Linked DNA regions of Sus scrofa. The protein of the gene in region 1 purifies or fractionates together with the protein of each later gene. This does not show direct contact. Links are inferred from orthologs where the notes say so. Each region holds a gene or a part of one and is shown on either strand. Other genes may lie near its edges.

Region 1 (7,168 bases):
CTGTACTGCAGCTTGCAGTGATGCTATATTGTTAACCCACTGAGCAAGGCCAGGGATCAAACCCGAATCTTCATGGACAGTATTTTGGATTCTTAACTTGCTGAGCCGCAACAGGAACTCTGTCTAGGATTTTTAAAAAAAATCGTTAAGAGCAACTAAATGAAGTAGGGACTGGGGGATTCTCTCAACTGAGTTGTATATGAAACAAGATTGGGTATGTATCATTACTTGTAGCTGGGTGATTGATACATCAGATTCATTATACTGCTTTCATAGTAAAATTTTTCTTTAAAATTTATTTTTAGACATCTTCTTGAGACCATTACTATTTTTTTTTTCATGGTGCAGTGACCGAAACTGTTGCAGTGATAATGCTGAGTCCTTAATCCACTGAGCCGCAAAAGAACTCCTATAATTTCTTTAGTAATTTATTTCTGTGATAATTATCACTGCAGGGAGATTTGTCCTTGCATCAAATCACTTTATAAATTAAGGCCATTTTGGAGTTCCCGCCGTGGCTCAGTGGTTATTGAATCCAACTAGAAACCATGAGGTTGCAGGTTTGGTCCCTGGCCTTGCTCAGTGGGTTGAGATCCGGCGTTGCTGTGAGCTGTGGTGTAGGTTGCAGATTCGGCTCTCATCCCGAGCTTCTGTGTTTCTGGTGTAGGCCAGTGGCTACAGCTCCAGTTAGACCCCTAGCCTGGAAACCTCCATGTGCCGCGGGAGTGGCCCTAGAAAAGGCAAAAAAGACCAAAAAAAAAAAAAGAAAAAGAAAATTAAGGCCATTTCTTTGTGTTCTATCCAACAGCTTGGCACAAACATCTGTTCATGTTCCCTTTCTCTCTTCTCAGCTCTCTGTTTCCAGATGTAGTGAATTGTATGCAGACTGACAACCTGGAACTAAAGAAGCTTGTGTATCTCTATTTGATGAACTATGCCAAGAGTCAGCCAGACATGGCCATCATGGCTGTCAACAGCTTTGTGAAGGTAACTCTTTCCCAGGGATTCAAGAGCAGTGTCTTTTCAGAAATGTCTCTTGATATAGTAAGTGTCTGCATTGCAAATAAGCAACCTCTGTTCCAAAAGAGAGCCTCTAGAGAAGTACTGGCAATGAGTAGGAATGTTCGTGTTTTAAGCATTCTGTGTGCCAGCGTTTGTCATCCAGTTCAAACCATATGGTGAGCCTTCTGTCAGCAGGGCTCGGTGCATTTTTGCCAGATGGGAGAAGAAAACCAGGTGAAACCTCACTGCTTTGCCTTCCAAGGCTAACAAAGGTTGAGCATGTCTTTGTAGTATCAGTATCTTGGGGCTTTACCTATTTTATCTCAGTAGAACTATGCTTATGGGTCAGAAGAAATGGAAACTGCAGGAACTGCTATTTAATTTTGTTTTATTCAGTAGGTCTTAGAACAGTTGATGAACTTTTTTGTCATTATGGAAATTTTCAAGCATCTTCAGGTAGAGGGAATAGAATAATAAATTGCTAAGTATCAGTCTTGTAGTTTCAATAGTCACCTGCCTGTGACCAGCCTTATTTAACTTATACTCTCCATACATGCTTCCCTGACTCCCCTCCTTTCCTACTGGTTACTTTTACAGTAAATCCCAAACATATGTAACTATAGTACCATTGTCACATCTTTAAAACCTGACCAGTAAGAAATTCCTTGGAATTCTTTTGCAACATAGCAGGGTTAAAGATACGGCATTTTCACTGCAGTGGGTTTTGTTGCTGCTGTTGTGTGGCCAAAAAAGAAGAAGAAGAAAGTAAATTTCTTAGTATTATTAGATATCAAGAGTCAAATTTGTCCTATCATTAGATTTGATAAACATAATAATGAGGTTGTTCGTATTAGTTTTTTTTTTTTTTTTTTTTTGGCCACATCCGCAGTACATGGAAATTCCCAGCCCAGGGATTGAATCCAAGCCACAGCTGTGGCATAGCTTGCGACACCAGATCCTTTAACCTACTGCGCCAGGTCAGGGATCAAACTGCTCCTCTGCAGTGACTCAAGCCGCTGCAGTCAGGTTCTTAACTGACTATACCACAGTGGAAACTCCAGTTTTTAGTTTTTTTATTTATTGTTTTTTTCCTCTGTTTGGAATTCAGTTTGCATTAAAAGCAAAAATCAGACATCATTTCTAAAATGAGCTTGTACTAAACTGTTTTGAAAAATAAACAGCATGCTTTCCTCCTTAAAAAGCAGAACCAACCTAACATTTCTTTCTGGTGATGCACAGGTGGATGATAGTACCAGAAAGAATTTGGTGTCCATTTTTTGGAAGTTAGCATGTTCACAGGTTTATAATGTTTAAAGAAATTTCTTAATGTAGGACAGTTTAAGGGTTGTTCCTTCATGATAAGTATTCTATTCATATTTGACACAGATGCTAGGAGAGGAGAATGTATGTAATCAGGGTCTCAGAGGGCCCTCTCTTCTGCTTCACTCAAGGAACCCAAATCACCTTCTATATCTCTTTTGCTTTCGTGGCTGTAGGCCCCAGGTAACCAGTCCTCTTTCTCCCTACTTGGTATTTGTTGAGTGGGACACATCTTTCCAGTTTCTAATTTTTTCCTGTACCAGAATACAAGCCCTAAGACCTTTTCTATTTATAGGACAGGTCCACTAATGGCTCTGGGGGTGGTAGCATCAGCTAAGCTTTCTGCTCAGCTCTGAAATGAAACCTACAGGACACTTCTTCATTGTGTATATAAAAGTTAAATGAATTCCTAACCTAAACTCTTAGGTAGGCAACTAAGACTGTACCTTGGAAGGGAATGGTCTAAGAGATGTGAGTTCTGATGTGGAATGTAACTGGAAACCTACATTAAATGAATATTCTGTTGTGGCTTACGTACATCTGACTGTTTATTTTTAGTCACCCTGTACACCTATAGTTGTCAGTGATTGTTTTTTTAGGACTGTGAAGATCCCAATCCTCTGATTCGGGCCTTGGCAGTCAGAACCATGGGGTGTATCCGGGTGGACAAGATTACGGAATATCTCTGTGAACCCCTCCGCAAGTGCTTAAAGGATGAAGATCCCTATGTTCGGAAGACAGCAGCAGTCTGTGTGGCAAAACTCCATGACATCAATGCCCAGATGGTTGAAGATCAGGGATTTCTGGATTCTCTGCGGGACCTCATAGCAGATTCAAATCCAATGGTAATAGTTTCTGCTTTTATAAGAGAGTGGTATTTAAAATGAGTCCCTTTATTTGTGTGTGTGGGGGGGGCGGGGGTGCGGGCGTTGTTTGTTGGGGTTTTTTTGGCCAAGGCGTGTGGAAGTTCCTGGTGACGATGCCAGATTTTTAACCCACCAGGCTACCAGAGAAGTCCAGAATGGGTCCCTTTGAAAAATATGTTTAGGAGTTCTCTGGTGGGCCTATCAGTTAAGGATGCAGCATTGTTACTGCCGTGGCTTGGGTAGGATCCTTGGCCTCGGAACTTCCAAAAGCTGTGAATACAACCAAATAAATAAATGAAAGAATAAAATAAAATGTCCATCATTGAAAAGGATGTTTAGGAATTCCTGCTGTGGCACAGTGGTTTAATGATCTGGCTTGCTGTGGCACAGTGGTTGCTGGTCCAGTCCCTGGTCTGCTGCGGCAGATTAAGGATCTGGCATTGTTGCAGCAGTGGCGTAAGCCTCAAATGCAGCTTGGATTCGATCCCTGGCCTGGGAACTTCCATATACTGTGGGTATGGCCAAAAATGGAAAAAAATTAAAAAAAAAAAAAAAGAATGTTTAAAGTACGTCTTGTCATAGGCTAGCCCTGTGAAGCATGACTTATGTGTGTCCCACAGTCTAACACCCTACATGTTTCTGAGCGGAAATCCAAGCATGAAAATATAGGTTTTGTTTTTTTTTTTTAATTGAAGTATAGTTGTTTACAATATTGTTAGTTTACAGGAAAGTAATTGTTTTATAAGTATATATTTTTTCAGATTATTTTCCATTATAGATATTTACAAAATATTGAATACTGTTTTCTGTATTATGCAGTAAATCCATCCTGCTTATCTGTTTTATGTATAGTAGTTTCTATCTATCAATCCCATACTTCTCTAATTTATCCCTCTCCCCCTCCCCCTTTAGTAACCCTGGGTTTGTTTTTTATGTCTGAGTCTGCTTCTGTTTTATATATAGGATCATTTGTATTATTTTTCAGATTCCACATGTAAGTGGTATATTTGTCTTTTTTTTCACTTAATATGATATTCTCCAGGTCCATCCATGCTGCAGCAAATGGCAATATTTCATTTCTTTTTTTGACTGAGTACTATTCCTGTGTGTGTGTGTTTTCACATCACATCTTAAACCACTCATCTTTAATGGCCATTTCGGTTATTTCCCTGTCTTGGTGATAAGTAGTGCTACTATGAACACTGGGGTGAAGGGTCTTTTTTTTTTTCTTTTTTCTTTTTTGGCAGTCCTGCAGCATATCGAGTTCCCGGCCAGGGATCAGATCTGATCCTATGCTGCAGCTGTGGCAACAGCAGATTGTTAACCCACTGTGCGGAGCCAGAGATTGAAGCTGCATCCCAGGACACTGCCGGTCCTGTGTGCCACAGCGGGAACTCCTAAAATATAAGGGTCTTATAGCAAATCTTTGTATCATACTTACTTCTCTATTTGTTCAGAAACAAATTTCTTTCATTACTGTCTTAAAGAAGTTTTACCTTAAGTTTATATCAGTTTTTAAAAAGATTTCTTCAGATGGATATTTGTGGTCTTTTCTGGTGGTGTGGGAATACAACTGAATAAAAGTTATCTTTATTGCTTAATTATTGTAGTCCATTCTTCTACAGAGTACTAGGACAATTCTCTTTTTTTTTTTTTTTTTTTTTTTTTTTTTTTTTTTTTTTTGGTGGGGGCCACGTCCAGGGTATATGGAAGTTCCCAGGCTAGGGGTCAAATCGGAGCTGTAGCTGACAGCCTACACTGCAGCTACAGCAATGCGAGATCTGAGCTGTGTCTGCAACCTACACCACACAATGCCAGATCCTTAACCCAATGAGTGGGGGCCAGGGATTGAACATGCAGCTTCATGGATACTTGTTGGATTCATTACCACTGAGCCACAGTGGGAACTCCTAGGACAATTTTTTATAGCCAACCTGATTATTTTGTGAATGTTTGGCAGTCAGAACCTAATCCTTAATGTTTGGGACCTTTTTATTTCTCCTATTGACATTTAGAATTTGGCTGTATAGTGAATGGAGCAAGTCTCAAAGTGGTACGTTGGCTCTGCTAGTAACTGAAGATCATTTGAATTGAGTGATTGGTCATTAAGTATCATTACTGAGAAGATGGAGGAATTGAGTCCCTGTCTCTCCCCTTTTTCCTAATGCATACTTCTCTTGGAGGTGAATAACATTGAGCTATTCAGTGGGTAGCCTGGGAATATTTCACTGTTGAACTTTTTGAATTAGAGAATTGGAATTTGCCATGATGTAGGCCTTGGGTTTCACTTGCAAAATAACCTGCTCAGATGGTTCATCTTACTCTTTGGGTAGCCTTGGCTTCTATTTATTATCTTTCAAATTTGGTGTCTAGGTCAAAGGATGAAGCAAGCTATAGTTTTTTAAAGTTGCTGTGGTACTACCTACCATTAGAAATCCTATAGCTACTTGCTAGGCACAGAGGCAATACCGGTGTGTATGCGCATAAACCGTGACTTTTAACAGGGTGTAATTACCACCAGTATTAGAAGATTCAACCCTATCTTTTTCCCTCAAGCAGCGCTGTGTCACCTTTTTAGAATTACATAAAGAGGAGTTCCCCTTGTGGCTTAGCGATAACAAACCCGACTAGTATCAGACTAGTATCATGAGGACTCTGGTTGATCCCTGGCCTCACTCAGTGGGTTAAGAATCTGGCATTGCCATGAGCTGTGGTATAGGTTGCAGACACTGCTCGAGTCTGGCATTGCAGTGGCTGTGGTTTAGGCCAGTAGCTACAGTTCCAATTTGACCCCTGGCCTGGGAACTTCCGTGTGCTGTGGATGTGGCCCTAAAAAGACAAAAAAAAAAAAAAGTCTGTAAAGAAACAATTTTATAAGGCAGTAATATCTATTTTTAGAAAATTTAGCTGCTACTAAGTTGTGTTTTTGCCATTGATTTTGATTCACTGTTATTTTGAGCAAATGTCTGAAATTTTCTGAGAACAAATGAGAAGATGGAAAATATTTGGGCTTCACTTCCTAAGTTTTGGGCATCCAGATGAGCAGATCTCATGTACCCTTTGGAAACATTTAAAATTTTCTGTGGGGCTGTGAATGTGGAGTGGAGTGAGGTAAGAATGGGTTCTAACTTACTCCATGCAATTCCAGTTCAGGGAGAAAAAGGAATCTTCAGTGTAAAAGTTTTTTTTTTTTTTTTGTCTTTTTGCTATTTTTTTGGGCCACTCCCGTGGCATATGGAGGTTCCCAGGCTAGGGGTCGAATCAGAGCTGTAGCCACCGGCCTACACCAGAGCCACAGCAACGCGGGATCCGAGCCACGTCTGCAACCTACACCACAGCTCACGGCAACGCCGGATCGTTAACCCACTGAGCAGGAGCAGGGATTGAACCCGCAACCTCATAGTTCCTAGTCGGATTCGTTAACCACTGCGCCACGACGGGAACTTCCAGTGTAAAATTTTTAAAGCAGAACCTATAAAATTAGATGGTCATTGGTAAGGAACTAACTGAGGTTTTTTTTTGGCACCCAGGTAGCACTTAGACATCTTTATCCAGATCACTTGAGAGGTTGGGGCAATTTTGGAACAAGCCATTATAATATATCTCATTTATTCAAAGTTTTCATTATAATAGCCTGGTTTTTGAATAGTCCATAGTATTCAAGAGTGTATGTATGCCATTTAGTGATTTTTCATTATGGGAATTTTCAAACATATTCAAAATTAGGAGTTCCTGTCGTGGCTCAGTGGTGAACAAATCCGACTAGGAACCATGAGGTTGCAGGTTTGATCCCTGTCCTTGCTCAGTGGGTTAAGGATCTGGTGTTGCCGTGAATTGTGGTGTTGGTCGCAGACACGGCTCGGATCCCATGTTGCTATGGCTCTGGCGTAGGCCAGTGGCTACAGCTCCGATTAGACCCCTAGCCTGGGAACCTCCACATGCCACGGGAGTGGCCCTAGAAAAGACAAGATTAAAAAAAA
Region 2 (7,777 bases), on another chromosome or scaffold:
TTTATTGTTTTTGATCATATACATTCTAAAAGGTTTTTTCCCTTTTTCTTTCTTTTTTTTTTAATAGCCACACCTGCGGCATAAGGAAGTATCCAGGCTAGGGGTTGAACTGGAGCTGCAGCTGCAGGCCTGGGCCACAGCAACACCAAATCCAAGCCACATCTACAACCTACACCACAGCTTGTGACAACTCAGGATCCCCAGCCCCTGAATGAAGCCAGGGATTGAACCCACACCCTCATGGACACTTCGGTGGGTTCCTGACCTACTGAGCCGCAACAGGAAGGAACCTAAAGGCTTTTTATTATTAAAAAAAGAACCCCTGGAGTTCCCGTCATGGCTCAGTGGTTAACGAATCTGACCAGGAACCATGAAGTTGTGCGTTCGATCCCTGGCCTTGCTCAGTGGGTTAAGGATCCAGTGTTGCCATGAGCTGTGGTGTGGGTCGCAGACACAGCTCGGACCCCCTGTTGCTGTGGCTGTGGCGTTGGTCAATGGCTACAGCTCCGATTAGACCCCTAGCCTGGGAACTTCCATATGTGGCTGGGGTGGCTCAAGAAAAGGCAAAAAGACAAAAAAAAAAAAAAAAAAAAAAAAGAATCCCTGATAAAATAAGAAAACTTCAACATAAAGCTGAACTGCTGGAGTATTATTTAAAATATCATTTTATGTATGCCATCTTTCGATAAAATAAAATCTTTATCATCATCAAGAGCACGACTTGCCAGAGTTCCCGTTGTGGCTCAGCAGTAAGGAACGTGACTAGTACCCATGAGGACACAGGTTTGATCCCTGGCCCCACTCTGGGTTAAGGATCCCCCACTGCTGTAAGCCGCAGGGTAGGTCACGGATGAGGCTCGGATCTGGCATTGACATGGTGGGGTGTAGGCCAGCAGCTGCAACTCATTTCGACCTCCAGTCTGAGAACATCTATATGCCACAGATTAGGCCTTTAAAAAACAAACAACAACAAAAAAACAGCACTACTTGCCCACTCACAACTATACTGTCGAGATACCATGAAAGGAACTAGAGATTCAGAAGTAAAAGACACTGTTTCCATCCTCAAGAAATTTAGGACCTAATTAGGAAAACAGGGCAGATAATGAAAAAAAAAAAAGAAGAAAAACTACAAGGGAACAATGGACATGCCAAGCATCTAGTACACAGAGAAGTATAGCAGACAGCTTTTAAAGTCCTACAGACCTTCGTCTTCGATCTACCACTTACTAATTTATGCAAATTACTTCCCTCACTTGTAAAATGGAGTGTTAAGTGAAGTACAATTCCTGTCATATAATAACACCCAAAGAGAATCATAATAATATTATTAGATACAGGCTTAAAGAAGAAATGGGCAATCAACCAAGTTTAAAAAGAGGAAGTATCTTTTTTGTAATCTACCACCCTAGGTAAAAAAAATCACAAGCTCTTTCTCACTCAAGTTTTAACTTACAAGAAGAAAATAGAACACCTAGTGAAGAAAACTGAAATCAGAAAACACAGACGCTATATAGCACTAAAGTGCCCTAGGAAAGTCACCACCAGATCTCCAAATCATAGAATATGATCTAGAAAAAAGAATGTTAGTTGGAAAGGCCTTTAGATCAGCTAATTCAAACTCTCCAACTAAAATGTAAGCTCCATGTTTTGTTTGTCTTCAGGCTCCAAGCTGTCGTCTATTCTGTTCATTAGTATATCCTCAGTACCTAGAATAATTCCGAGCACATAATGAATGTTCAATAAATATTTGTTGAATGACTTTTAAAGCTAAGAAAACTGGCCCTGGAGACAACTCAATGACATAGTTCGCTCTTGGCAGAGCTGGGACTGAAACTAATGTTTTCATTATTCTAGCATCCTATCCTGTCTAGATGCTAGGCTATGATAATTTAGATAATTTATTCTGGTGGTGGAGGAGTTGGAAGGCCGGTTGGCAGGCAAGGGAAAGAGGAAGGAAAGAGTAAATTATTTTTCATGTGTTTTTCCCCCAATTGTCAGTTTTGCTTAATTGATGAAGGCAGAAAATTATAGACAATCCTAGCAGAGTGCATAGCACATACTAAAAACTTAACAAATACTGAATAAATGAACTTATTCCAAAACTATTATTATCTCATAACTAGAGGCAGAAACTAACTCCAGCATCTGTTTAATCTTTGTAACTGCCATAGAGTCCTTTAGGTTTTCCAGCTATTAATCACTTTCTTCCAGATGGGCAGTGAAGGAGAGAGATGAAGTGAAAGAAGTCCCTGCCCTGAAGCATACCTATGTCTGTGTGTGCTGGGGGTGGAGTGGGGGTTGGTGTGATAGTAAACAGATCAATAATGAATGTGAAACCAGGTTGCATTGTTATTTCAGATTATTTGCCTCAAGCAGATAAAAAAATCAAAAAACACAAATCAGCCAAGTTTTTAAATAACAAGGAGGCACATTATAACAAATATATTAACATTTGGGAAGGTTCTTTTTCCTGAGCCTTTACAGTATATCTTATTCTCTCTTAATGTCTTAAAATCAAAATATTCTAAATTGATTTATTTAGATTTTCAATGTAAATGAACCATCAATGTTTGTTCTCTCATATGTGAAACACTGAAGGATTATATTCCTGATTCAGTATTTACTCTGTGTACAGGTTAATATTTAAATATATAACTGCAAGAACATACTTAAATTATTTAACTGTCTATAAAACTGACAGAGCCTGAAGAAAATATCCAGAGATGAATGAGAGTAAATAGAAACTAAAAACACAGTCTTACAGGAAGAGAATAAAGTAAGCACAAAACTAGGAAGCAAATCTATACAAGTCCTCAGGAGAACAAAATCTTCAGGAAAGGAAAACTCCTGCTGGAAATGGCTAACAGAGCCAGACAGCAACAGCCTGCCTAAAGGATCTTGTTTAATGGGTATCACTAACTAGACTATTAAAAAGTGAGCGCCCACTCCAAAAAAGTGAACACTCAAAAGTCAATGTTGCCATTTCTCAAATTTCAGGAATACCCTTACAAAGAGATTTGCCACCAAGACAAAATCCCCACATTCCAAGTATTCTTCCCCATTATGTGCTTGTCAAAATAGGATAAGCAACACCAGAGTGGGAAATAAACACACTTCACTTATGAAGCTGATAATTCCTGCAAGCTGAAGTTAATTTTTATTTTACCTGAGGCACGTGTTTACAATGTGATTCCTGGTTCCTGGGGAGAATATTTTTCACTCAGTCTATCTTAGAATGCTTGGCAAAATGCCCCCACGTCTCTTGCTCCCAACACGGAAAACTCTCCAGCCCAAATGTATAACCTATCCCCGTGTTTTGCCTTAGAAGCCCTGACAAATCCAGGCCAAGGAGACTACAAGGTGGCAGGGAAATACTACAGGGCAGGCAGGAAGGCTTGCATGGGCCCCAGCACAGAGGTGCAGAGCCACCAGCTCACTCGGGAGAAAGCAGGCTGAAAAGTAAGGCTGGGGTGGGTTTGGTCAAAAAAGTGGAAAGGGACTGACAGGTGCACATCCCCTCATCATCCTGTACATCATGGAAAGATTACAACAAGCTTTCTTTACAGAGAGGGGGGCACGAGGCTCCCAGGGAGAGTGAGGTTGAGCAGTTTTACGGGAAGCACGAGGACTGGGCTCTGAAGGAAGCAGAAAGGCAAGGAAAAGACCCTGAAAACAGGTTTTGGTGAAGATTCCCCCAGGATGAGCAAGTCGTTCCCAGCACCGAGACTGGAGGAACCATCACACCTGTTAAAGGATGACTCCCTGTTATCCGCGTGGACAGCGATGTTGACCCCACAGAGTAGGAGTGGTAGCACAACTGAGGGAAAGACTGAATCTGGGGATCTGACGCCGCACGAAACCTGATCAGGAGGGGAAGAGGCTGAATCCCAGGACGGGGCCAGCAGGGCAAGGGTGCGTGCGCTCCGGTGGGATGAGACTTATTTGGAAGAGAGCTGACTTAAGGAAACTACTGGGGAAGAGAGGGCTATCGCCGGACTCCAGCAGGAAAAGGCCGGTTTAGAAAGGAAAGCCTGGCTCGGAGGGGTCCTGGGTGTCCGGCTCGGGAAGGCGAGCCTCGTGAGGGACCGGGGCTGAGCCGGGGGGGCTGAGGCTGATCCGCGCGAGCTCAACAGGAGCTCACCTGGGGAGCGTGTGGCCTGGAAGGAGGAAACTTCCTGGGTGGGTGAAGGCGGACCGGAGTGAGAGAGGTGGGCACCGACCGAGCGGGGCGAGGGGCACCGAGGGGTCGAGGGGAGTGGGCGCCGCCTGGGGCGGCGCCGGGGCGCAAACTGGCCGGGGCGGGGTCTGGGCAGCCGCCGCGAAGCTGCCGGCTCGGGATGGCGCCCTCCCCCCGTCACACTCGCACACACACACGCGCGCACACACACACACAGACACGCGCGCGCGCGCTCCGTCTCGGTCGCCCCGCCCGCCCGCCCGGGCCCGAGAGAAACTGCCCGGGTCGGTGAACCACAGGGCAGTGGGGGAGGGGGCCAGGGACACCGGCCGACCAGCCCACTGGACGGGCGGGCCGCGTTACCTGTGTCAGGGAAAGCTGGGCCGCCGCAGCCATGGTGTTTCCATCATGCACGGGAGGAGAAGGAAGGACGAGCGGACGGGGTCTCCGGGGGAGGAGGAGGCGGAGGGAGCGGCCGGAGGCGAGGCCCGGGCAGGCGGGCGTCTCCCCGAACTTCGACAACTTCCCTCCTCTCGCCCGCCCCGCCCCGCCTGGCCCCGCCCGCCCGGCGCAGGCCGCGGCGGCCCCCAAATCCTGGCGCCGGAGTTGTTGCCACCGGACCGGAGCCTACTCTTGGGGCCGCCGGAGAAAACCCGGCCCGTAAAGAAATGAAGGTGGGCGGCCTGTGAAGATAGAGGCAGAGGCCGCTCTCCATTGTCCCGAGAACTTTAAGCAAGTCACCTGCCAACTCTAAGCTTCTGCTTCTGAAAAAAGGGGGAAATTATATCCAAAGTCCAGATTGCTTGTGAGGATTAAATGAGATCTTTATAAGAAATAACAGCACTTTATATATGTCAGAATCTATGTTAGACGCTTTATTTTTTAATTGTATAAATGAAGGGACTGAGACATAAATATATTGCACAAGTGAGGAAACTGAAACACAAATAGGTGTCACACGTAAGCTGGTTCGATAGCTGGTGAAGTAGAATCCACGTCTGACTCCAAAACTTTTCATTTAACCACCTGCTATTACAGTGTGATACCAACAAAGAAGACTCTAAAGTCATTCCCTCCGGGAGCTAGAGTCTACCTGGGAGGGGGAAAGAATGCTTTCCTGACCCACTTGCTGCCTCCCACACTCAGATTGTTCCATAAATGAGCACTGGGAGCTGCTCAGGTGCCTGCCGCATTCCTAAATCCTCCCCGGGTCCACCTGACAAACTCCTCTTACGTTCTCCAGAAACAACTCAAGGATCACGTCCTGTCCTTCGCAAAGCATCTCCCGACCTCCGCAAGTCGGAGCTACACACTCCTCTTTTTAACACTTCTTCTCTACGTTATGAAGTCACCACCCTGATGACCGTTTCCATCTGTCTGCTCTCTCGACTGGGAGCCTCAATGATAAGGACTGTTTCTGATACATAGAATGTGTTAGGTGTTCATTATAAGGCCTTAATTCCTGCCAAGTCAAACATGACACAGACTACACTTTCTTTGTCTCTTTTTAGGGCTGCACCTGCTGCATATGGAGGTTCCCAGGCTAGGGGCCAAATCGGAGCTGCAGCTGCCGGCCTATGCCACAGCTGCAGCAATGCCAGATCCGAGCCGCATCAGCGAACCACACCGCAGTTCACGGCAAAACTGGATGCTCAATCTGCTGAGCGAGGTCAGGGGTCAAACTTGCACCCTCATGGTTACTAGTCAGATTCGTTTTTCACTGAGCCATGACTGAAACTCCTATACTTTCTTTTTGTTTGTTTGTTTTGCTATTTCTTGAGCTGCTCCCGCAGCATATGGAGTTTCCCAGGCTAGAGGTCCAGTGGGAGCTATAGCCAACGGCCTACGCCAGAGCCACAGGAAGATGGGATCCCAGACGCGTCTGCAACCTACACCACAGCTCACGGCAACGCCGGATCCTCAACCCACTGAGCAAGGCCAGGGATAGAACCCTCAACCTCATGGTTCCTCGTCGGATTCGTTAACCACTGAGCCACGACAGGAACTCCAAGACTACACTTTCTTATGCTGCCTTCTTCACTTGAAATAACCAACCAGTTACTTGAAATCCTAATCTATAAAGACTTGGCTTGGGAGTTCCCAATGTGGCTCAGTGGAAACGATCGACTAGGAACCATGAGGTTTCAGGTTTGATCCCTGGGTTCGCTCAGTGGGTTAAGGATCCAGCATTGCTGTAAGTTGTGGGTAGTCGCATTCTTGGCTCACATCTGGTGTGGCTGTGGCATAGGCTGGCAGTTGTGGCTCCAATTTGACCCCTAGTCTGGGAATTTCCATATGCCCTGAGTGCAGCTCTAGAAAGCAAAAGCGGGAAAAAAAAAAAAAAAAAAAAGACTTGACTTGGAGTATGTGCCTGCCATCTACTTCAAGAAGCCTTCTAGGAAATCACACCCCACCTTAGCTGCTCTGATATGATCCTAACACTCTGACTTGTTTTTAAGAGTTAGTTGAGAGGCTTTTCTTCTTTTTTTTTTTTTTTTTAATTTGCTTTTTAGGGCCACACTGGTGGCATATGGAAGTTTCCAGGCCAGGGGTCAAAGTGGAACTACAGCTGCTGGCCTATGCTACAGCCACAGCAATGCCAAATCCAAGGTCTTGTCTTGGACCCACACCACAGCTCATGGCAATGCCAGATCCCCGACCTGCTAGCAAGGCCAGGAATGGAACCCAAATCCTCATGGTTACTAGTCAGATTCGTTTCCACCTCGCCACAATGGGAACTCCTGAGGGGGGTTTTCTATATCCCCACTAGACTGTAAAACCCATGAGGACAGAAGGCCAACTCCCAACTTCATCCCTCTCACAATTTGACCTAGCACAGAGAAGGCATCAGTAAATGTTTTTGCCAAGAATGGGTCTTCCTTTCTCAATCGTAATGGCTTCCCACAACAATGAAACACAACTCTATCAGGCCCACACCCCTATTATCATAATGGTCTCCATCTGATGCACCCTGAGGACCCACTGAACAAGGCCCAGGATGGAGGCAGCCCCACAAAAGGTTTTAGACCTTAACACCACAGGCAAACCATCCCAGAAATGCCCTCAGAAATTCCTGACTCTACTCAGGTCCCTTTTTACAAGGTCCATCCAACAAAGAGCCACTACTATGCTGGTCTCGTGAGCAACCACGTCTTCAAGAGAGTCTTCTTTGATCTCTTTTTGCTGTTATTCTTTTTAACTTAAGGGAGAAGGAGAAATACAATTTTAAATTATTCCCCACTCTCCTGGTACATTTATCAGCTCTAACCACCACTGATGTTTCTACTCTACTTTTCTAATTTACATCATCACTTTTGGACTTCACGACAATTCTGAAATGTAATAATCACCATACTCATTTTATAGATGAGGTAACTAAAGGTCCCAGAGGGTAGGTGATTCTCCCACGGTTATAAGCCAATAACCAAAATAGTACAGCATAGTGGAATAAATAGGGCTTGGACCTCAGAAAGTCCAGGTTCTAATCCTGTTTCTACTATTTACTATTCCTACAACCTTAGGATTATTGTGAGGCTGTATGAGATAACATGTATGGAAATACCTAAAGATGTAGATACATGGGTTTAGTTAAGAAAT
Region 3 (7,622 bases), on another chromosome or scaffold:
AGCATGCCGCAGCCCTAACTTAAATCCTTCAGTAGCCTCCCACTGCATGTTCGGATAAAATCTAAATCTCCAACAAGGCATACAAAGATCTGGATCCTGGTCACCTCTCCAAAATCATCTTGGGTTTCTTCCATGGGTTTCATTCCCTATAATCCACAGCCCTGGACATATTGCAGTTCCTGAAACTCTCCCCCCCATAGGAAGCTCTCTCTTCATGACATACTCCAAACCAGCCCACCTTCATACCTCTGCCTTTATCTAACTCTTCATACGCTTCAGATTTTCGCTAAAAGGTCCAAAAAAAGGCTTCCTTTATTAGTCAATATAAATTGAATCAGTTATTCTCTCATAAAACTCTATGTTTTCTTCGGACAGTTATCAAAATTGCTAATTACGTTTACCTAATTCTGTTTAACATTTATCTTCTAACTAGACTCTAAGTTCCATAAGACCAAAGAAATAGCTGGGTTTTGTTTTTTTCCTCTTTTGCATAAATAGCACCTAGTACAGCCTGGCATTGTTTTTAAAGGGCATTTAATAAAGTCATGGAATAGTAATGGTTGTTGATATCTTTGTTAAATCGTACCCTTCTACTCTCTTTGTTATCTCTAGGACCTTCAACTTACAAGTTACTGGGTAGCCACAAAAAATTTCTGCAAATCAGATACCATGCTTAAATGCATCATTTTTTACTGATTTATACCTCAAAATAAAATGTATTTTCCTATATTCCTGTAAAATTAACAATGAAAACTGACATTTTACCTAAATTCACTTATTCTACTCCAAGCAATTAACTGAGAGCTACCGAGCTACTTTTACAGAACTCTGGAGTAAACTCCTGGCCTCCAATTACTGACAGTGCTAACAACCCCCATGGACCCCAATGGATGTGTCAGAAAGTCCTACTCACCCAGTCATACTCAAAATACCACTCCTATCCAGCCCCATAACCTCATGATTAGATGACGTCAACAAATTATGGATGGTGTCCTGGTCTCTATGCTTCCCATTTAAGTCCACATTTTACCAAAGATGTTTAGGAAATAAAAGTCCCCTACCCGAGAACCCATTCCTCCCATTATCCATCAAAATTAGTCTTCTGACTAGCACTGAAGGCCTACAGAGGCATGTCATCCAAAAGCCAGTCCTACGTTTTAGTAAATACTTAGGTTATACTGTATTATTTGTGCTGGACAATCTGACACTGTTTCATGCTAAAATTTACATGTAGCTCTATCTCATCTGTACAGCCCAAAGCTGAATCTGCACTCCTAAAACTAAACTGTTTTTGAGGAAAACGCCCCACATACCATCAGGCCTCTGAACTTTTGGCAGGAACTAAAAAGGTGCAATTCGTCAGCATTTTCAAACATACTACAACATATATTTCAGAGAGAAAACTACTCCAACAGGTTAGTTACAACTACAACACAAGCATACCCGAGAATCCTGGTTTTATAATATATCTAAGACATAAACATGCATGTGCATGGATATACACATACATACATACTGACACATACACACATATATAGTTGATCCTCATAATCCGAGGAGTTCGTATCTGCAAATGTGCTTACTTGCTGAAATTTACTTGTATCTCTGAAATCAATACAATGACACTTTCACAGTTATTTGCAGACATGCGCATAGGGGTGAAAATTTTGAGAAGGCCAGCTGGAATCCAGGAGGTATTGCTCTGCTCTGTTTCAGCTCTCATACTGTAACCAAGTGCTCTTTTCAAGTTCTATGTCATATCATGCTTTTCTCTTTCTTGTGTTCTGCAATAGTGATTCTGTTGTTTAAAATCGCCCCCAAGCACAGTGCCAAAGTGCTCCCTACTTAGTGTTCCTAAGAGCAAGAGGGCTATGATGTCCCTTACCAAGAAAATTATTAGATAAGCTTCATTTACGCATGAGTTACAGGAGTACTGGCCATGAGCTCAATGCTAATGAGTCAACAACTTATGTCAAACAAGGTGTCTCTAAACAGGAAACACACATAAAACAAGGTTATAAACTGGTTGACACAAATGTTGCCAGCAGAGGCTAGCAGTGCCCTAACACTGTATTAACCCTAGGAGCAATGCCTCAGTAGTCACTAAATCACTATATGGCAACTTTATAAAACATAACTACTGTGAATAACGAGAATCAAATGTGTATGGGGGGGAGGGGCAGGCAGCGCTCACACCAGGTTTCCTGAAGATTCAAAGACACTGCAGAGGCCATTCTGAGCAAGCTGCCTGTGTCTGCAGTAGCCTGGCAAACACTCCTCAGGACACATCACCTGCAGAGTCTTGGCTCGTTTAAATAACACTGACACAAAAAGCAAAAATGTAAAATCTACTGTTTTTGCTTCGACCTCTCTCAACCTCCACCCCTCTCACCACTCAATGCTCTACTTCTCCTCAGTTCAGGTTCTCTACACTCTCCTACCTTTTCACAAGCACTTGCCCGAGTTTTATAAACGGGCACATGTGTCTGTAAATTCCTGAACGATCATTCTAGAACGTAAACCACACTGGTGCTTAAACAGCTTGTCTAAATCACAGCATTACTTATTTGGAAAGAAGGGAAAACATTAAGCATCTGAAATAATATATTGTCAGGATCCAAAAGTAAACCGAACATAGATCCTTTGGATTGTGTGCGTGCGGAGAAGAGGATACACAAGGGAACAAAGCCTAGGCCTCAGCCTTCCCTCCAGGGAAGCCCAAATGCCTGGTTCCAGGTGCTGGGGTGCAGAGTGGGGAAGTGCCATCTTCCCCAAGAATTTGCTCAAGCCCTGCTTCCTCCTAGCACTTAATTAGTGATTTTTCCAAGCGGAAGAATGACAAATCAATGGCAAAAGTCAGTGAAACACTCTAACAGTAATATTAGTTACTGAAAGCATTTTTTGTGGTTGAGTGAGTACTCCCTTTTTGAAATTCATTTTTATTCTCATTTTCCAAAATTATTTATTTCTATGGAAAACAGTGTGCTTAGGGTAGTGATAGGACATGCTTGGAGCAGGGGCAGAAGCTACAAATCCAAACTCTAGTTTGATGAAATGTCAATGATTTCATTCTATTAAATAAAAGACCCATCTGGGATTTACTGAAGTGAAGTGAGTGTAGTATTACTCAAGCCACACTTGAATCAGTTACAACTCAAAGACAGAAGTACAGCATGTGAGCTAATAGCCATGTCTTCTAAAAACCTACAATTCAATCTAAATCAACACTTGAAAGTCACGTATAATAAAGAGCTAGGAAATTTTACAGCATAGTAAATCTGTCCATCAATGCCAATTACCATACATTCATCACTGGAGAAGCTAAGGATCCTCCTTCCACCGCTCTAAGGCTCAGCTAGGCTCCTAATGAGGGGCCAGAGCTTGCAAAACAATGATGTTCATCCCTGAATAATCAAGATTTCTCTTCAGAACAGTTCGTAGACAAAAACATTCAGGGTTTTCTCTCGCACTAATTCGCTACTGTTTACAGCATTTCAAAAAACACAAGTGGAATCTCAGTCTACTGTCTTCAAACCACATCAACACCTCTCAGAGAACCAAAGCTACTGTCCTCGATTTCTTCTCTCAATCTCCGAAATTAACAAGGGCCACTTATCAACAAATTATTTCTCGTGAAGTTTTAAAAGTACGTATTTTGTAATATCGGTCTGCGATTAAAACTCAAAAGTCAATGAAGCATGCAACAAGGCAGTATTTCCTACAAGCCAATTTATACAAGAAATAAAAAAACTACAGGATTTTTTTTAATGGAGTTAAATAACTTTTTCTGTAAGCCGACTTGCAGCTGTTGACAGAGCCTAGTAAAAGATAAGGTGGGATCGAACACAAAACTTCTCCAGTGAAAGTTAACCTGCTTTCATATCGCCTTTTCAACTACCGCCAGAGACTTACTGAAATGGTAGGACTAGCACCTTGTCTCAGAGAAGCTTCTAAATAACAAAGATAAGTGGACTCCAAGTTTACCTGCTTCCCCAAAGCAACCTGCTAACTGAAGCTGGGGCAAAGTATCACCTCCATCCCGCGAACACACAGGAATAAATCGTTTTTCACCTGATGACTGAGCAGCAGCAAACAGGCTTAACGCGCGGGCTGCAGGGTCCTGCGCCCGGCGGCGCGGGTGGAGAGGCCAGCGCATGACACCCGCCTGAGCCACAGCTGGGGGAGAAGAGCCCCAATCTTGCTCGGTCTGACCCTCAAATGAGTCACTGGTCCAATCACGACACCACAGCCCTCGCGCTAAGACGTTTCCTATGTATTTCCCTGCGTGGAGAAGGACTGAAAATGACTTAAACTCGTAATCAAAGAACCGTGCACCGGCCAGCGCGGCCGGCGGCGAGAAAAGCCGGCTTAAGAGCGAGACCTCGAGCTACTCTAAGAGCCTCGCTGGCCGGGCAGGAGGCAGAAGGGGGAGCCGAGGGAGCGAGCAGAGAAGCGGGCGGCGACCGGGAGAAGCTACCGCCACACCCCAGCCCTCCCTCACCTGCCGGCCCGCGCCTCCCCGGGCGCCCATACCTTCGGCCAGCGACTCCTCCAGGGTGACCTGGTAGCGGCCGACCGCGAACACGCGGACCCCCACGGACGAGCTCCCGGAGCCGGAGCCGAAGGCGGCCCCGGCCCCGCCGGCCCCGCCACCCGCCGCTCCGCCGCCGCCGCCGCCGCCCTCCGACTTGGGCATTCGAGAGAACTTCTTCATGGTCCCGCCGGCGCGCCGGAGGGCGCGGGGCGCGCGCAAGGGCGAGCGAGAGGGCGAGCGCCCGGCCCGGCGTCCGCGCGGGGCCGCCGGCCCTCGTCCGTCCGAGCGTCCGTGCGCGCTGCGGCCCGCCGAGCCTCACATTCCGCGCGCCCCGAGCGCAGCGCCCCGGCCCCTGCGCCCGCTCCGCGGCTCCGCTGCAGCTGCCGGGCTCCCGCAGAGGGCGGCGAGGAGGGCGGGGACGGGGCGGGGCGCGAGGGGGCGGGCCCGAGCGCGGGGGCGCCGCCGCCAGTGCCCCCGGCGCCCTCGCCGCCGAGCTGGGCGCCCGCAGCGCGAGCCCCGCGGGAGGGCGCGAGGGAGGGAGCTGGGGAAGGGGCGGGGCGGCCGGGCCTCCGGGGAGCGGGCGGGACTCCTCGCGCCGCACGGCCTCTGGAGCGCAGTCCGCGCCGCCGCCGCCGCCCCGGCGGAACCGGAGCCGCCCGCCACTCCCAGCCGTTGGCGGCGCGGCGCCCCTGCCAGCCGCTCTCTGAGGCCGGGCACCCCGCGCAGGCGCGCTGTCTGCGCCGCCGGAAGTGACGGTTCCGGCTCTTGTCACGTGGAGGGGGACGGGAAGGAGGACGGTGGGGGTTGGGGTGCGGGCGATGTCTGGGGTCCCGGCCGGGAGGGTTCGGCCGGACCTGTGGGGTCCCGGCTTCGAGCAGGGAGGTGACCCGGTGACCGGTCTTCTCGCCGCCTGTGCGGCCGGGGCGGGATGTCTCTTCTCGCCTAGGAGTTGGTATGTTGCTCTGGGGGCTTGAAAGTGCCGCCACCAACTTTACCCCCGCGAAGGAACTTCTCGCTGCAGTGCCGAGCCGCTTTTCCAGACCGGCTCCCCTGAGAATCTTCTTCCGCTCGCCCACCCCGGAGCGTGGGAGGTGGGAGCAGCGCGGAGCGAGAGCGGATTCCAGTAACCCGACTTCGGAAGCCGTGCTGCCGCCCTCTGTAGCAGACGCTTGTGCTCGGGAGCGTTTTGCGGTCTATAGGGTACTTTCAAAATCTCATGTGCGCTGTGCAACAGCCCTGTGAAGTATTCGGAACAATTGTTAAGTCCGTTTAGAGACCTTTCATCACTTCTGGCCCGGAGAGCTTAACGGACTCGGGGAAGGTCACATGGCTGGCTTTTGATGGAGCTGCAACTTCAAGGGCCCGCCTTTGATACTTCGTTTCATTCGTTGGGCCGTTTGGAAAAAGGAGGTTAGGGTCAGAGCGTTGGAAAACGGCAAATTTAGGACTGTTGGGAAGCAAAACCAGCTACCCGGTCCCGTCCCCCGCCCGTTAACAAAGAGATTTGCACATTAAAAAAAGAAAGAAAAAAAAAAAGCCCCGTTGCATCCATTTCGGAAACTGCAGTAGTCTCCATGCCTGCGGGGTGAGGCCTGCAAAAATGAGTATGGTGTTAAGACGTTTAGGATGGTAAGGAGTGTGAAATCACAGAGCCTGTGTAACTAGAGCGCCCCAGTCCCAAATCCAGCCTGCCCCCGCCCCCGCCCGGTATGAATAGAGGCCCGCTGTGGCCAAAGGTTCCATTTCTTAAGAAAAGCCAGGAATCTTCTGGATGTTTTTGTAATACGGCATTTCCCAAATTTTTTAAATGTAGGTCAAATAAACTGTACGTGCAGGACGCCAGTGCGTGCCTTCTGTGAAAGCAGATGAATGTCGTTCTGTCCCCACTCCTATTTCTTTATCCAATTTTAAATGAGATACAGGCAGAAACGTTAGAAAATGTGCTTAGGCAAAAGACTCAGCTTCAAATCTTCCATTTTTCCTTCTTGTCTGCTATTTCAAGAGAAGCTATTTCTGCCAACATTAAAACAGTGCTCTGCATTTAGGCATTTTTGCTGCATAACCCACTAAAGCTAAAATTCTTCATCCAGAGACCTGATCTTTAAAACACATTCCTGCTCAATGGAAGTTAGATTTTATGTCAGATAATTGATACGGTGTGACAATTGGGGATTTCCATTTAGAAATAAGCTGACCATTCTTACTGTGGGGATTCACTGTGGATTTGCATTCCTACAACATTTGAATTATATTTTTCAAGCAGGATAACTAAGAAATTTAGTCATTTCGTACAGTTCAGAAGTGCAAACAACCTAACAGGCACAGTGGGAGCCTAACATGATTTCACCTGATGACAACACAAGAGTAAGTAAAGTCTCCTGTGATCAGTTTGGGAGCCAATTTACCACAACAGCTGTGGTTTAAAAAAAAAAAAAAAAAAAAAAAAAAAATTCCTTCTCTGTAGCCATATATATAGCTGACTTTGGATATGGAAGTTGATCATTAGTTTAAGGCGTAGGCCCCCTTTCAAAAATTATGGCTAATACTGAGCAATTCGTTCTTTAATTTTTCACGAAGCACACAGTAAAAATGTGAATATCATCTGATCTCAGAATGTTAACTCCACAATGTTCTACCACAAACCTATTGCTGATAAGGAAGCAAAAACATTGTATTGCTGATAACAACAGGGCCACGAATTTACTCACAGCACCAAAAGATGCTGACATTAACTGTCAGATTCAACTTTGTGAGTTAAAACGGGTGCCCTTCAACCAATGTGTAGGGAGAAAACGAGATACTGATCAGTGCAAAACTGTACTGAGAAGTCCAGTCTTTTAGTTCTGTACTCACTATTAGGCCATGGCTGTGCAAGAACATTCATGTGGGTTTCCTATTGGAAAAATAACACCTCTAGAAAAATAGGGATATTTTGACCATCTTAAACACTGTCATTAGGAGACTTACAGTAAGAAAACACATATTTTTGATCTTTCAAATGTTGACAGCTCTAGTGCTGTAAGAATAGTTGGGAACTAGCCACAAGATAAAGACTTTTAAAAAAAAGCATACTGCTTCAGTCTGCAAA

What was found. Proteins that work in one complex are often made in the same cells at the same time.
Region 2: the proteins of AP2B1 (region 1) and EPS15 purify together in Homo sapiens (affinity purification with mass spectrometry; 3 studies listed by BioGRID and IntAct, with this or other methods). This does not show direct contact. The link is inferred for Sus scrofa from reciprocal best matches to the Homo sapiens genes AP2B1 and EPS15.
Region 3: the proteins of AP2B1 (region 1) and BMP2K purify together in Homo sapiens (affinity purification with mass spectrometry; 3 studies listed by BioGRID and IntAct, with this or other methods). This does not show direct contact. The link is inferred for Sus scrofa from reciprocal best matches to the Homo sapiens genes AP2B1 and BMP2K.

Annotation. Positions count from the first base shown.
Region 1 is NC_010454.4:39,900,914-39,908,081, reverse strand, and holds part of AP2B1 (AP-2 complex subunit beta), read left to right. Parts: intron 1-851; coding exon 852-987; intron 988-2,921; coding exon 2,922-3,167; intron 3,168-7,168. UniProt on the Homo sapiens protein: Component of the adaptor protein complex 2 (AP-2). Adaptor protein complexes function in protein transport via transport vesicles in different membrane traffic pathways.
Region 2 is NC_010448.4:160,650,837-160,658,613, reverse strand, and holds the start of EPS15 (epidermal growth factor receptor substrate 15), read right to left. Parts: upstream 4,797-7,777; 5' UTR 4,577-4,796; coding exon 4,544-4,576; intron 1-4,543. UniProt on the Homo sapiens protein: Involved in cell growth regulation. May be involved in the regulation of mitogenic signals and control of cell proliferation. Involved in the internalization of ligand-inducible receptors of the receptor tyrosine kinase (RTK) type, in particular EGFR.
Region 3 is NC_010450.4:138,785,171-138,792,792, forward strand, and holds the start of BMP2K (BMP-2-inducible protein kinase), read right to left. Parts: upstream 4,797-7,622; 5' UTR 4,715-4,796; coding exon 4,534-4,714; intron 1-4,533. UniProt on the Homo sapiens protein: May be involved in osteoblast differentiation.